2 linked regions of the Oryzias latipes genome follow. The protein of the gene in region 1 purifies or fractionates together with the protein of each later gene. This does not show direct contact. Links are inferred from orthologs where the notes say so. Each region holds a gene or a part of one and is shown on either strand. Other genes may lie near its edges.

The links. The genes of interacting proteins can lie anywhere in the genome.
Region 2: the proteins of polr1e (region 1) and polr2f purify together in Homo sapiens (affinity purification with mass spectrometry; 4 studies listed by BioGRID and IntAct, with this or other methods). This does not show direct contact. The link is inferred for Oryzias latipes from reciprocal best matches to the Homo sapiens genes POLR1E and POLR2F.

The regions. Positions count from the first base shown.
Region 1 is NC_019859.2:12,630,161-12,637,744, reverse strand, and holds polr1e (DNA-directed RNA polymerase I subunit RPA49), read left to right. Parts: upstream 1-3,760; 5' UTR 3,761-3,775; coding exon 3,776-3,805; intron 3,806-4,015; coding exon 4,016-4,094; intron 4,095-4,295; coding exon 4,296-4,399; intron 4,400-4,682; coding exon 4,683-4,759; intron 4,760-4,850; coding exon 4,851-4,936; intron 4,937-5,018; coding exon 5,019-5,074; intron 5,075-5,148; coding exon 5,149-5,293; intron 5,294-5,416; coding exon 5,417-5,527; intron 5,528-5,642; coding exon 5,643-5,739; intron 5,740-5,822; coding exon 5,823-5,953; intron 5,954-6,087; coding exon 6,088-6,169; intron 6,170-6,252; coding exon 6,253-6,384; intron 6,385-6,876; coding exon 6,877-7,042; 3' UTR 7,043-7,132; downstream 7,133-7,584. Other genes in the region: zinc finger and BTB domain-containing protein 5-like, read right to left, coding at 1-1,141, 1,297-2,127, 2,197-2,406. UniProt on the Homo sapiens protein: Component of RNA polymerase I (Pol I), a DNA-dependent RNA polymerase which synthesizes ribosomal RNA precursors using the four ribonucleoside triphosphates as substrates.
Region 2 is NC_019866.2:19,811,765-19,819,065, reverse strand, and holds polr2f (DNA-directed RNA polymerases I, II, and III subunit RPABC2), read right to left. Parts: upstream 4,142-7,301; 5' UTR 4,007-4,141; coding exon 3,987-4,006; intron 3,846-3,986; coding exon 3,776-3,845; intron 3,666-3,775; coding exon 3,535-3,665; intron 2,169-3,534; coding exon 2,097-2,168; intron 2,011-2,096; coding exon 1,920-2,010; 3' UTR 1,689-1,919; downstream 1-1,688. Other genes in the region: MICAL-like protein 1, read right to left, coding at 5,694-5,818, 5,905-5,951, 6,037-6,151, 6,257-6,330, 6,412-6,502, 6,618-6,744, 6,966-7,079. UniProt on the Homo sapiens protein: DNA-dependent RNA polymerase catalyzes the transcription of DNA into RNA using the four ribonucleoside triphosphates as substrates.

The DNA.
Region 1 (7,584 bases):
AGTTGGACATGTTCATGTTCTGCCAGCGCAGACACGTGGTCTTGGAATGCTTGTACAGGTGGGATGACTGACTGAAGCGTTTGCCACACTTGAGGCACGCGTAGGGCTTTTCCCCCGTGTGAACGCGAATGTGTTTCTTGCAGTCGGTCAGGGTGAGGAAGGTTTTGCAGCAGATCTTGCAGGCGTACTTTCGAGCCCCTTCCACGACCAAGACGTTGTGCTCCGAAAGGGCCTTCTTGCACTTTGACAGGACATCTGCTGAAGCCCGGGTCAGCTGAGGCGGGAGGGAGGTGGGCCGGCCGCCGTTCATCTCATAACCCCCACTCTCGTTCAGAAGCAGAGGACTTGTTAGGTTGGAGGAAGGTGACGCCGGGTCTTGGACTCTTCCTTCACCTCCTATGCCAGAGTTCATTTTAGGAGCAATACGTCTGTAGCTTGGATAACTCAGGGTGGAAGCGGAAGCACTTCCCATCCCTCTTGAGGGTCGCCCCAGGGAGTGAAGTCCTAAACTGGAGCGCTGGAAGTCCAGAGCAAAAGGATCCACTCCTCCACGTCCAGCACTCCCACTGCTCCCTCTGAGGCCTCCTAAGTTCTCATAAGGAGGCTGCAGGAATAGAGAATCTGGCTGCAGGTTGTCTCCAAAGCCGTTTCTGCTCTCGCCACTTAGCGTGCCCGACTGAATAAGAGAGGACGACGCGGAGGAAGACGGCCCAGCAGCGTCGTGTCTCATCAGGAAGCGATGAGCAACTGCCTCCCCGGTGGTTGTGTTAGGAAGGTCATCCTCTCCAGAAACCAACCCTGACCCACCTCTCCCGAAGTCTTTAGAGCTGAGAAAGTTCGAGATATTAAAATTAGAACTGCTACTCAGCCCATTGTTACTGCCAAACCCCCCCGTGACACCCATTCCTCCTCCCATGCTGCCCTTGAGGAGGAGCTGGGAACTGGAATGGAGCAGAGACTCGGAGCTGGGCTGGGGGTCGGAGGTGAAGCTGCGGTCGCTGCCCTCTGGGCTCAGCTCCACCTTCTCCTCTTCCTCCTGGCAGCCGGGCTCTGCCGGGTCGCTGCCTTCAGCCTGGGACGTCACATCGCTGTTTTCGTCTACAGGCTCAGGTGAGCTGAGAACCTCTCGCTTGACCACCACCTGACAAAAAAAATTAAAAAATGTTTCCACTGTGATGAAAGTTGAGCTGTTTACCGAAGGAAAAAAACGAATATTATGTAGAAACATTAAAATCCCCCCCAAAAAGGAAAAACTGGAAACTAATAAGAAAAAAACTTTATGTGCATCCTTTTTACCTTCCGCTCTTCATCTTCCCCCTGCTCTTCCTCGTTCCCTGACTTTATTTTTACAGTGGCTCTGCTGGCCTGCTGATCCTGGTCACCCATGTCCTCTTCCTTGTTTACTCCTCCTGGAATCCTCACCGAGTTCTCCCCTTCAGAGCGTCCACTGTCTGACTGACTCGGCATCTGAGGGTCATCTTGAGCCACAGCTACAAACCCTGTGATGCCGGCGCCTAGCTTAGAATCATCCCCCGGTTTGTGGGAGTCCGGCGAATGAAGCGCTGCTTCATCCTGATCTGCATTTTCGCCGTCTTCCTCCAACAAACCTAGGTTGGCGCCCCCTGAGGTCCGCTGCCTTTGTCTGGGTCTCTCCTCTGAAATTGTCAGCGCTAGAGACGGCTTTCGTTTGTGGAATCGACGGACTGGGAATGAGGCCCGCTGGTCGACCGCTCTGTTGCTCACGCCGCCTTCCTCCATTCCTCCTAAAGCGGAGCTCACCAAGCTGAGCCCCAGCTGCTGCAGCAAGAAGGAGCGCTGCACCTTCGACGTGGCAGCGTTTCCTGTGAGGCTTGTGTTACCCGCTGAAGCTGGGTTCCCTCCCAAGTCCGCCTGCTGCTGCCTGTGCCTTTGCTGCTCCTGTTGAGAGTGGTGATGGGCCGGCCTCTCAGAGGAGGGCGACACAGGCAGTGTGCGTGTGGTTAGGTAGTGCTTGCAGGCTTTTACGACATTGTTGAGGTGCAAATGTGAGGCGGCGAGGAGGATATCCATGACGTTACTCTCCCCCAGCATCAGCGTCGACGTGTACATCATGTCCACCAGGGCAGCAAATGCCTCAGCCGTGACCACCTGCAAACAGGCAGTTTGTTATCATGATATTAACTCACAGCAGAGCCAGTGCTCGCTTCAGGTCCAAACCTCGCTGTCCAGCTGGATCATATTCATGCTAGCATCTCCCTCGGCGACGGTGAAGAGCGCTCTGAAGTGGGTGCTGCAGGCTGCAAGAACAGAGCGGTGGGCTTTGAAGTGTCGGCTGCCCACCACTATGATGCAGTCGCACAGCTGACCGTGCAGCCGCTGATAGTTCAGCTGCTGGAATATCTGCTCAAAGTGTCCCGGGAAGTCCATGGCTCTGCTGACAAATCAGTCCAAAGGAGGAGGAGAAGGAGACAAAAGTGAGAAGGACGTGGACATCAATGATTTCACAGGGGGCTGCCCAACAGATCTACCACCTTGACTGTTTCCCAGCTCTCCCTGCTCCCTGGATCATCAGGTGTGTTTAGCCACTCAGAATGTGAAGTTACTCAGAATGTGAAGTTAAGTTAATCAACAAGACAACAAGTCTTAGAAACATTCTGGCTTTTTGGGCTGACTTCAATATGTCATTATCAGTGCAAAACACACACATTTGACTTCCTTTTGACTATTTAACATAGACATAACTAAGGAAAGAATTTGAAGGTCAGTAGATTGGGGGTTTAAATCCAAGACTACACAGTCAAAAGTGTCCTTGGGCGAAACACTTAACCTCACGTTGCCTTGGATTGTAATAAACTAGTGAGTCACTTTGGTTAAAAGCGTTTCCAAAGACTCAACATATAACACACACAAAAGAAGGAAATTTAAGTAAGCTAGCTAATTTTTTTTTCAGAATAATTGATTTAATTTTATAGAATTCTGTGGCCTAAAATAGAATTCAATATCTTACTATGCGATAACCGTGTTGTAACATTTATTACATTCAAAAACTTTGGGTAATTAGTCGTTTTAAATTCCCCAAACTTTATATTTTTTTATCGCAACTTGATGATAGAGAATTCGGTTACTGCAAAACAGACCTTAAAGAATAGCTTGCAAGTTTAAACTGGACAATCATGTGGGTTATAAACAATAAATAACATATACTAGATTTTAAAAATGTCAAATAGCACAAATTACCTTTAAGTCTTCCAAAAAGTGTGTCCCCGAAGGAAAAAAATTGAGAAAATATTCAGGGAAAAAAAGTGAAGAGGCTAGTAGTGAGTCTCGTTAGCAGCCGCGCGGCTAGCCAACTCCTTCTAGCTATATAGCAGCACCAGCGGGTGCATTAGGTCTCCCCAAAAGATCGTCTCCGCCGACACCCTTTCCCCCACAAAATGTCCCCTCAAGTGCAGCTACCTATGGCTAACCCTTCCATTGCGGTGTTCATAACATCTCCTCTAAGCCACTTCCTCGTAGTTCTCCAATACAGTCTGAACGGCGTAGTAGTTCAACTGTCGAGAAGAAGGGAGTTGCGATGGTCGTTAGCTTTAGGATGACCGATGAGCAGGATACAACTTCAGAACAATATCATAATACCGATGATCTGGTGTGTTTCCGGCGCTTACCAAGCAGCACGTTTTGCTTAATCTATACGAACATTTATTCAGACGGCTTTTTTTCCCCATCCAGACTCACAGGGTGGCGCTGCTGCACCTTGATTGAAATGACCTCGTTGAGGTAAAGCGCAGCAGTTTGAATGATTCACCACAGGGTGTCGCTGTCGTTCGTAAGTGTCTAGGATGAAAACTATTGAGCGAAATGGTTTTAAATATCTACTTTATTAAGACAGGTGTTGTGAATAATATTTACGTGTATTTAGAAAAAAAATGTTTTTAGACAGCTTTAAGAAAAGACAAAAATTCGTCATTGACCAAATTCACTGAGCGTTACGTTTTACGTAAATACAGATGAGTGAGTCCTCTCGCTCCTTTCACAGATCACAACAACAATCATGGCCGCCTCGTGCAGGATGGTGTGCTGCGAGGAGGAAAGGGAGTCTGACAAAGCGATCATAGGTAATTATTCTCATCTCAGCCTTTTTGAAACAATAATCTCTAAAGCAGGCGAGCATACAGTCAGTATTTGAGTTATCTGTGTTGCATTCAAGTGTATAAAACTATTCCATTTTTCAGGAGTAATCAGAACACGTGAAAGTTACAAGGCAATATTCTCACACATAATCAACATTAACACGCCATTCTCTGTATTTTTTGCAGTCCGATTTTCGAATGGTTTCACCAGCAATGCAGAGGAACTGGATTTTGCCACATTCAAGAACATAGAAGAAAATAATCCGAGGAAAAAGATAAGGCGGATCGTGGTGAGAAATTGCGCATGCGTGCTCGCACACACCATAGTTTGCATGGAATTGATATATTTCAAGCAATCAATATAACATCACACTGAAGAAGAAATACAAATCCACTCATATGTTTATCAAACTTAAGATGGTTTGTCATTTTTTGATTGTAAAATAAAAAATGTTATAAGAGATGCATATCCATATATTTACAACCACACACACGTACATTATACCATAATAATTAAACAAAAATGACAGATTCGCATTCATTAAATATGTAACAGTTGTCTGTTCCATTTAGGTTGCTGAATCAGACAGGTTGTCTTATGTCGGGCAGAATTTTGGAGAAGATTTAATGAAATGCAATAATCTTTGCAGGTTTGTTATCATTACATTTTATATACATTAACATTTGATATAGACCTTTCGTATCCTTATCGAATGAGTTTTGTGATGCAATTATTTTCAGATATTATGTTGGAGTTTTGAATAAAGAAACCATGCAGATGGAGATACACAGCGCTCAGCTATTCAACATGCAACCTGTCATACCAGGTAAAAGAAATGCAATCCCCAAAACAATAACAAGCGATTTTTAAAGGAGGGCAATTTAGTAATGCCAGTTAATTTCCACCAGGAGAGGCAACACATGATGCAAAGCCTCAGGACACCACTCTGTCCTACAGGGAAAAGGTATGAGAAAAACAAGCTTTCTTTTGAAACAAACAAGCACACAGTGAAGTCATGTTTTTTTTTTCTTTCTCAAGGTTGACTCCTTGATTGAGGCCTTTGGCACGAATAAACAGAAACGAGCTCTGAGCTCTCGCAGGCTCAACCAGGTGGGCAGTGATGCTCTGCATCATGCAGTGGCTGAAGCTGCCAGCACTGTGATTGATAACAAGGGTCTGGAAGGTAAGCGTGAAGCTTTCAGCCTTTTGGAGTAATCTAGACAAGAAAATATAACTCAAATTCATACTGGACTTGCCATCATTTTTTTTTTACTACATGTTTTTTTCCCCCTTTTTTTCTTGTTAGCTCTGCAACAGGAAGTAGCTGAAACAGAGTCTCAAGGAGCCCTGTCGTTACACCTACCTCCCTGCAATGCAGATGCAGACAAAAAAGAAGATGTCTACCCCTTTGAAGAGCGTATCTTTTTAACATTACCCCCCCACCCCCAATTTGAACAGATATTGGAAATTACATGCATATGTAGTTCGAGCAAAAGCAGCACTTTTCTCCATCCTTAATTTGACTTCAACAGTACTGAGTCCAGTAGAATTTGCTGCTTTGGAGCCGAACGGTCAAAAGATGACGGCACTAAGCCAAGAGGAGCTGCAGAAGTTGAAAGACCAAAGAGGGTATGGTAGCAGAGAGCATTTTTGTCTTATTAGCCTTATTTACTTATTATTGAATTGAAATATTTCTCTATTTCTTACCAAAGGAATCTGTGTGTGATGAAGCACCTGGAGAACATGCCATCCGCAAGTGAACCTAGAGAGAAAACTGCTCGCTGCGCTTTTTACCTGTCTCTCCTCATCAAACTTGCCCATCAGAAGATTGTCACTCGCAAATGTGAGCAGAATTTTGGAATCTCAGTTATTGAAGTAGTAGATTCTAAATATCGCTGATCAACACGTTAAAATGCCCTGCCCCTAAAGTTTTGTAATGTATGATGCTTTTTCTATTCCACCCGTTTTTGTTTGCAGTTTGGACTGAGGAAGGTTGTCCTCGTGTCATTCAAAGTAAAATTCTCCGAACATTTACAGTGGAGACATACAATAATGGCAGGTGTGTATGCGACAGTACCCCCTCTTTTGTTAAGGTTTAAAAAAAAAAAAAGCTGACAAATGTGTTTTGTGTTCTCCTTTTAGGGTCCAGAACATTGTGTCGACATCAATGCGGGCCAAAATAGCAGCTCACAGTCTGGCTCTGTTGCTGCATTTGGGTGACATGACTGTTAACCTCTCACTGCTTCACCGTGACCTGGAAATCAATGAGGCCAGGTACAAAAACCCCAAATTCTCTCCCTTTAAAACATCTTAGTTATTTTACCAACTGATTTTCCAACCCGAACATAAGACGACTCTCTCTGAGGCACCACCTTTCTCTCTGTGTGGGTTTCGCACATTTTATGACAACCTAGGGTCGGACTTGGCAGCATGTCCCAACATTTGCAAAGATGGATATGCATATTCTGTACATAAAATGAAAGCGCTTTGCTGTTTACCACTAGCTCCGCTGAGAAAGTGGGTGTGTCTGTAAGCCTGGGGGCGGTGCTGGCAGCACAGACTGTTCCTGGAAGGGGCTGTTCCTCACTTCTTGATGTCACTCGCTGTTTTTTTGGATTTGGAGGAGCCGGTCCTTAGAGTGCAGTTTTTTTTTTTTTTTTTTAGAAGATTAGGGCTAAAAACACCAAAAACATTTTATTGGAGTGGGTCTTTAACAAGGTAATATTGTTGTTCTGCCACTAAAGAATGATTCTTGTTTCCCTACAGGATGCTGGAGATTGCAAAGTCGATGGGTTTAACCATAAGCAAGCCAGCCCGCGGTAAAGGAGATGAAGCACAGCTACAGGACGAACACAGATACGCCTCACTTGTTCTGCCTCTGATCAAATACGATAAGTTTGTCGAGAGACGGAAGCGCAAGAAAATGCACTGAAATTCAAAGTAGGATGTGTGGAGAGAAAAAAGACACAAAACTCTCTGTATTTGTTTACAAAATACTTTAATAAATCAAATCATTTGAGTTGTACATGAAATTATTTGACTCGTACATTTGAAGATAGAAAAAAAGCAACCAAGTTGTAAACGTCTAGATGACAGAACCACCACCTTACATGTAGGCACATTTTTTTTTTTTTAATTGTAGACAGAACATATTGCACACTGAACATTTTTGTCCTTCTTTGTCTGGTTGTTACCAAGCAAGCCTGTGGTTGTCATTGTGCAACACAAAAGTGTCTTGAATGACTTGACAACTTCCCACTGAAACGTAATGTCACAGAAGTCAGTAAGTGAACCACAGACTCAGCAGGAAACAGCAGCTCTGTGCAAGAGGCAGAAGCTTCATTTTGGATTTGCTTTTTGCATATACGTTTTAAATTTCTGAAACGTTCTTTTCAAAGCTACAATCACCGACTTTAAAAGTCCCCAAAAGAAAAAAGGGACAGCTTTACTCCGTCGTGTAGCTTTAGCTGGCAT
Region 2 (7,301 bases), on another chromosome or scaffold:
TAAGACCCAAAGATAAGGACATTTTTTAAATATAGTCTAGGGCTCACACATATCGACTATTCAGAAAAAGAATGTATAACGCTGACGTTCATGCAAGGTTTGAAAAAATGAAAATCTTTGGAAGATTTCAGGTGCTGAAAAACTGTATTCAAGGAAATTGAGGCCTGAGGTATGCAGATATTTAACAGAGAAAATGACCCGATAAATTCATAGGCAAAGCGATTCACTTTCCCCACAATTCGGTTCAAACCTCACTTTTTGGGTGACAGTTTTGTTTTCAGTTCAATATGCTAATAGTGCATGGCAAAACAACAACAAAAAACTAAAAAAATCGACTTTATAATTAAATAAGCAAATAGTAAAAAGAAAACCTTTCAGCTGGTTCATAGTAACCTTGGTGTGATGTAATAAACACTGTTAAATATATTGAACTTAGCACAACACACTTTCAACGCAAACATGTGTAAATGTTTGCAGCAGTGATGCAACAATACATTTTTCCACAACGTAGTTCAATGGTTTAACATAGGGTTTGGTTTTTAACTGAGAATCGTAGCATCACTACGTTCCTTACAATACCAAAGCAATAATCATAACAGCAGTTGGACATGAAAGGCTTTTTAAAAGTAACGTGTCTCAATTCTTTTTTGGATGAAAGAATAAGAATGCTACTTAACCCCTTAACGTATATTTGATACAAACTTGGATCTAACCACTTTTACTCCATATTTACCTTAATTTCTTCTACTTGAAAGCAAAAAATGTTTTTTTCTTCCTTTTTTGGAAATAAACTCAAGGAGTTAAGCTATTTATCCCTTGTGCTATCCTAGGCACTTTAACATTGGGAGTTGGGTCATCTAGACCCACTACTAAACAGTGCTCTGAACCCTTTTTCTTCAATGATTTGTGATCTTCACTGGTGTCCATGGATTACATGAAATCTTTCCACCTTTATCCACCTTTGTCATGGTAGGAATAACACGTCAAAGTAAGGGTGGGGTCATCTAAGATAGCACAAGGGTTACATAAGCCAATTTCAATTTAGTTTATGCTTTTGTACTGAAAAACATTATTAGACAAAAATTATAACTAGCATAATCCTGACTGCTATGTTTTACAGTTGTCAATATTTTTTTTCCTGCTGAACCTTAAATAAAAGTTTAAATAATTTAAAGACTAGTACATTAGTACTAGTGTGAAAATTGAGACACCAAAAATGTCACTTTCTTGAGGCTCATATGAAAACTAAGTCGCAATTTTTGGCATCAAACGGGGCCTCAGAGCTGGGCTGAAAATAGATTCTCTTCGGGCAGAAAACTCAAGAACAAGCCCTTCTCCCCTGAGCACTGGTTTTTCCTCCAGCGCCGCGCGTCTCTCTGCCAGGGCAAACACTCCCTTTGAACAATGCCGACCTGTTGAGCTGCTTCATTCACATGGTTCCGTGGATAAACTCAGAGAGAGCCTCCGTCTGTTTTCTGACGGCTTCACCAAATCCACAAGGGCTGTAGCCTCAAGGAAAATAAAGACCCGCTGACATCAAAGCTGCATCAATCAAACACCACATGATTCTTGAAGTTTAATCAACTGATTTGGTTCTTTTTTTAAATGACCAAAACTGACCATTTTTTCCCTGACTATGACTCATGCTGACATTAAAACTTTAATAATAACAGTCAGAAACCGTGAAATTATCATAAAAAAAGACTTTATTTATAACAATAAAACAGATGATCTCTGATCAAAATCAACACTTGGAATACTTACAACAAAAGTTCAGTTTGTTAAAAAAATGTGTTTAAACAAAGTTATGTCTCCCCCTACTGGCTCATGCTTGCAAAGCAGGTTTTAAAATGACTGCATTTGCTGCTTCTGTTTGGTATCATCGAAGCTCTGAAGTTCAGCTGAAAGTCCAGGTTTGTTTAGTCGGTAATGATGAGCTCATCACAGCCCCAGTCCTCGTAGCTGCCGTCGGGGAGGTACCTGCGGATGATGATGGGGATCTTTCTGCTCCTGTTCAGAACAAACGGCAAACATTGAGTTACCAGGAACAAAACAAGATGAAAGAATTTAGACAGAAATGGAATAATCTGATGTACTTTAGTTCCTTCATGGCGATCTGCAAGGGGTCTGTTTCTCCCTCCAACTCGACCATCACAGGAGCGCACATGCTGTCGGCAGAACAACGACAAAATCCTCAAAATAAATCCCAAATTGAAGTAAAATGTCATTATTTTAAAGCCAGAAAACAGGCGGGGCAGAGGATTCATGGACTGTTCATTCACACACACACTTTTCAAACCAGTGTGTCCTTAAACGGCCCAAACACAAAAACACAGAGATGTCAACAACCAGGTTCAAACCCAGAACCTGCCTTCAAAGCTGCAAAACTGAGAAATGTAATTCAGTGTCATTTTGACAAAATGAGATGCAAAGATTTTTTTGTTTGTCCCTGAAACACGTGATCTGCAGCAACCAGTTGGGACCTCGTGATGGGCCCATAGCACAGCTGGGGGGCTTTTCTCTAGCTGGGCCAGGGCGTGCATTCTCCATGCTCCTGTGACTCCTTGCTCTTTGGTGCTGGGGACTATTTCGGCAGTCCCTCCTCTGGTATGGATGGCTGGTATCGGGTCACTGGGGTGGTGGATTCCCTCCTGGCTGTGGTGGTCCTGGCTGCCGCTACTGCCTCACCTCATTCTGGGGGGCTTGGTGTGGGACGACCAGGTGCTCCCCCCCTTTTTTTTATTCATTACGCTTCATACCATCATTGTCCACAGTAGAACACAGACAAAAAAACTAAGCACCAATGCCCACTCACCTTGGCTCAGAAAAGGACTTTTGTATGAGATTGTATCTGCTTTTATGCAAATGAAGGTGCATATTTATCTGATCTCTATCTGTGTTGTGTACATGACAATATGCAAGAGTGAAGGTTTTTGAGGGCAACAGGAATGTTTATAATATTCAGTGTGTGCGATAAACATAAACATCTAATTGTGAAAGTTATAAATAACCTCTAGCAACGTTTTGTCTCTTTTTGTTTGCAATGGTGTGTTTCTTTGGTGACTCTCCAACTTCTATATGTCCTTTTCTATCTTGTCCCCCCCATCCCTAATATCCCACTATCCTTCTCCGTTTTCTCCGGTCCAAAAAGGAATGGACACAAGTCCATCATTTTTCTAAAACCGGCCTATTGTAGATCAGGGTCTGAAGGAGCCTATCCTAGCTGTTTTGGGGCAAAGATGGGGTACATGCAGCATAGTTCAATAAGCACAAATATTAATAAAATAAAGTTAAGCCTCAATACAAAAAGGTTTGTAGTGACATAAACCTCCTCTGCCCAAAGCTTCAAAACTCCTATGGTAACATTACAATCTGTCCAACACCAGGGGCCTTCAGCTCTCATCTGTTTGATCAGCTGCTCCACACGACAAATTAGCAAAATAAAATAAGAAGAACAACAAAGCCACAAATGTTTGGAAGCCTAACTTATTGGTTTAGAAGAGTAAAGCGCTTATTTTACAGTAAACAACTCACGCTATTTGGAGGGCTCGTGTTCCCAGCACTCTCGCTCTCTCATATTTGGTCATGTGCGGTGTTGTAATCCTTTTCTGGTTAGCCTGCTGCCCCTCTCCTGCGGGGAGGATCTGTACGTTCTCCTGGTCCTCCTGATGATCATCCAAGGAAAACAAGCATCTGATTAGACTGCCAGATAGAAATCATGAATAATGAACCCCAAATATGATCCACTAAATGAAAAAAGTGCAGACGAACATACATCTTCCACGTTTTCCAGATCGTCTAATCCTTCGTCCTCATCGGCGTCCTCAAAGTCTCCATCATCAAAGCTGCAAATGTTGACAAAAACTGTATCAAAGACCGAAAACGGTGAAGTCGTAACCTAGCTTAGCTAACAGGCTACACGCTAAAATAGATTTAAAATTAACATATACCATGACATTATTTGATGAACATAGATCACAACTTACTTGTCTTCGTTATCAGACATGTTTTAACTTATATTTTTTCCAATATAGATACTAATAGAGTTTATTAGCAGCAAATTTAATTTAGAGGCTAAACCACATTGAGCGTTGTGGTCTCTAAACTTCCGGTGCGCGTGTACGCTGAAAAATTATGTCCGGCTTCTCAACTAGAATTTCTTTTTTTGTCCTACCTTTTTCTAATTCAATTTAAAAACAAGCAAACAAATAGTATATAAAAAGCTTACTTTCTATTATAGTCAAGTATCCTAAACAAAATAAACTTCAACTAGAAATAAATATAAATCCATCAAACTATGGAAAACCAAGGCTGTACCTTTAGAGAAAAAGAAGACACCAAAATGATAGTTTTCAACATTTATTTTAATGTACCCTTGAGAGAAAATGAATACTAATAATTCTTAATTTTTTGCCCTGCATTTATAGAAAACGAGTAACAATGGCATGTCACTTAGTGCAAAGTTAAAGAACAGAATTGGGTCAACCGAATGCGAAAAAACATTCAGAGCTAAGGCTGGATTCTGTTTTTTTTACTCTTCATCTAATATATTTTCCTACGTGATCAAATGAAAAGATATTCACAATAAACAACATAAAAATGTTTTTGCAAGTGCTTTCCTGTCTTATGTAAGAATACTCATTGCAAGAAGTAGTCTATTTAAGTGTACTACAAGTATACTTATAAATGTGAGGCAGTATACTTGACGTTTATTTTTTTAAAATATAATGTCAAGATAAAATCTAGATATTGTAAACTTAAAATTTCCAATTTCCAGTCTCAAGAAATATTCTGTTAGTATACTTCATCTCTACACTACATGAACATGGTCTTTAGTACAGCGTACTTGCTTTATACTTATATTCAAGCAAACTTAAAAAAATAAAAGCGTCAACTTTTTGCTAGGGTTAAGCTCAAACAGCTGGCACTTTGTCAAAGAACAGATCCATTTAGATTCTTCACTTATTTAATAAAATGTGTCTATACAAAAGAGATTTCTTTTAAAACAATTCTTCATTACCTATTTTATAAATATAGCAGTGGATGGGTAAGAATTTCTAAACACAAAAAGGAAGAAATGTTCACGTTTTTAACAACAAAATTAATCCTGTTTGTTGGTTACACATAAACTTTTTTTTTTCAAATATAGCCCAACTATGAAATATGCAATTGATTCTTTGTTAATTTAGTAAACAACAAGTTGCAATAATTTACAATAAAAGTGAACATTTGACAGGAGATTCTTGTCACAACCTTTTAAAAAAATGTCACTTGTAAAATTGCTCTCTTTCACAGTTTTCTATACATTTTCTGATGAACCCCTTTAACCAAATTACTAAAAAAAACTAAAAAGTAAATATAGCAAAAGATAGTGCAGGAATCTGCATGGCTGATTTTGTCTCAGAAGAAATCTGTAGGACAACAACTTTAAGCATTTTCTAGTGATGCAGGTTTGGAAAAATATTTTTCTTAAAACAGGGTTTTAAAAAAGTGGTAAAAAAATAACATCAGTAGGAATTGGTTTCTATTTCAAAGTACTCCGTTTTTCTCTTGCTGGACTTTGTAAACAATTTGAACAGAATGTGCCAAACAGACGAGAGCTCATACCAGTCCCTACATTTTTGGATAATCTAGATTCTCTTCTACAGATGAGAAACTAAATCTAAAATTGACCAGAATGTTCCTGCAGCTCTTCAGTCCTTTTTCCTCCCAGAGTCCTTTCTGCTCTCGGGTTTGTTGTTCAGGATTTTAAACACCTGTGCAGGTTTGAACTTTCCTTTTGGCTTCTTGAGCCCTTTCTCTCCTTCCTTCGGAAAATCTGAAGAGAGATTTTGTCATTAACAGCAGTGAAACAAAATTATCCTCAGCAAGACACTTTCAAGAGGGGATTGGTGTCACTCTCACCTCGGTTCTTCATTTTTTCTTCCAAAAGCATATCTTTGTCTTTATCCCTAATGAGAAAAAAGGAAAAAGGTGTATTTTCTGTAACTTCTACATTTTAGTGTCTGAGTATAAGGAAGCAGTATTTGCGTCAACCTCTGTTGGTCCTGATCCAAGCCGCTTATGATCTGATTTCTCTGCTCTATGATGGAGACCAGCTCATCCATCAGCTGCTGCTCACGACCCCGATCCTCCTGACTCCATTCACTCTCTGTTAAAACACATCAAGTCAAAGCCTTTCTCATTTTTCTGAGCCCAGTAGAGACGCTTATGGATTCTCACCTCTATTTCTGTCTGGGTAAAAGCAGACGCTAACCTGGTTTGTTGAGGAGACATCTGAGCTCATACTCCACATCTGCCTGCCTGTCCTCCAAATTCTGCTGCTTCATCCTCAAAGAACAAAGACAAAAGAAATGATTACACAAAAATAATTAGTAAACACAATTTCAAAGAATTTGCTGGTTCACTTACAAATAGACCAGTTCTGAGCTTTTGTGTGATATAAGTAGTCGTTCAAGAGTGAGGGAGAACCACTCTGTAAGCATTTTTTCCTCCTCTTTACCTGAAATGTAAAAAGCGAAGCAACTGAAATAGAATTTCTTGCAATTATGAATAAGCGGATAATAGCCAAAAACAAAAAAAATATCTGGAACGATAGCAGTGAAACTGAAGTTCACCTTTCCGGCGTGCTCTGAGAATCCTCTCCTGTTCAACTCCTTGTTGTTCCAGATATTCCAGTTTTTTCTCCAGCTCCTTCATCTGATTCTGCAGGTCATTCATGCACAGATCCTGGTCTGTTCTTACCTGAAAAAGTAAAAAAGAAACTCCACATTATTTCTGCAACAGCTGTAGCAAACGCACCTTATAAAAGAAATAATACACATCATTTTTTTAGGTCACATGGCCCAATATTATGTTGAAGAAGTTTTAAAGTAAGATTTCTGCCTTTTTTTAAACAGTGTGTCATCTTCCACATGGCTGGAAAATGCAGCATTGAGAGACTGAATTGGGATGCAGAAATGTACCTTCCTCTTAATGAGGGGGAAGCCGTGGCCTGGAGCTGGACCCCGACTGGATGAAAAAGTCTGGGACTTGGACATGTGAGCTTTTCTGTCAAAAGGATTTTCTTTACAGGATTGCTAAAAACAGAAGAAAAAAAAGTCAGATTAAAAAGACACCAAAATGTCAGTCTTATGATGAATGCAATTTTCACAGATTCTTCGCAGGATTCAAAAACCTTCTCTTTGGCATCTATAACTTACAATTCAATGGACCCAAGTCATGGAATACACATCTAGATCTGGTACATAACTCCATTTCTTTATCAACTTACAAAAAAACAAACAAAAAAAACAGACTTT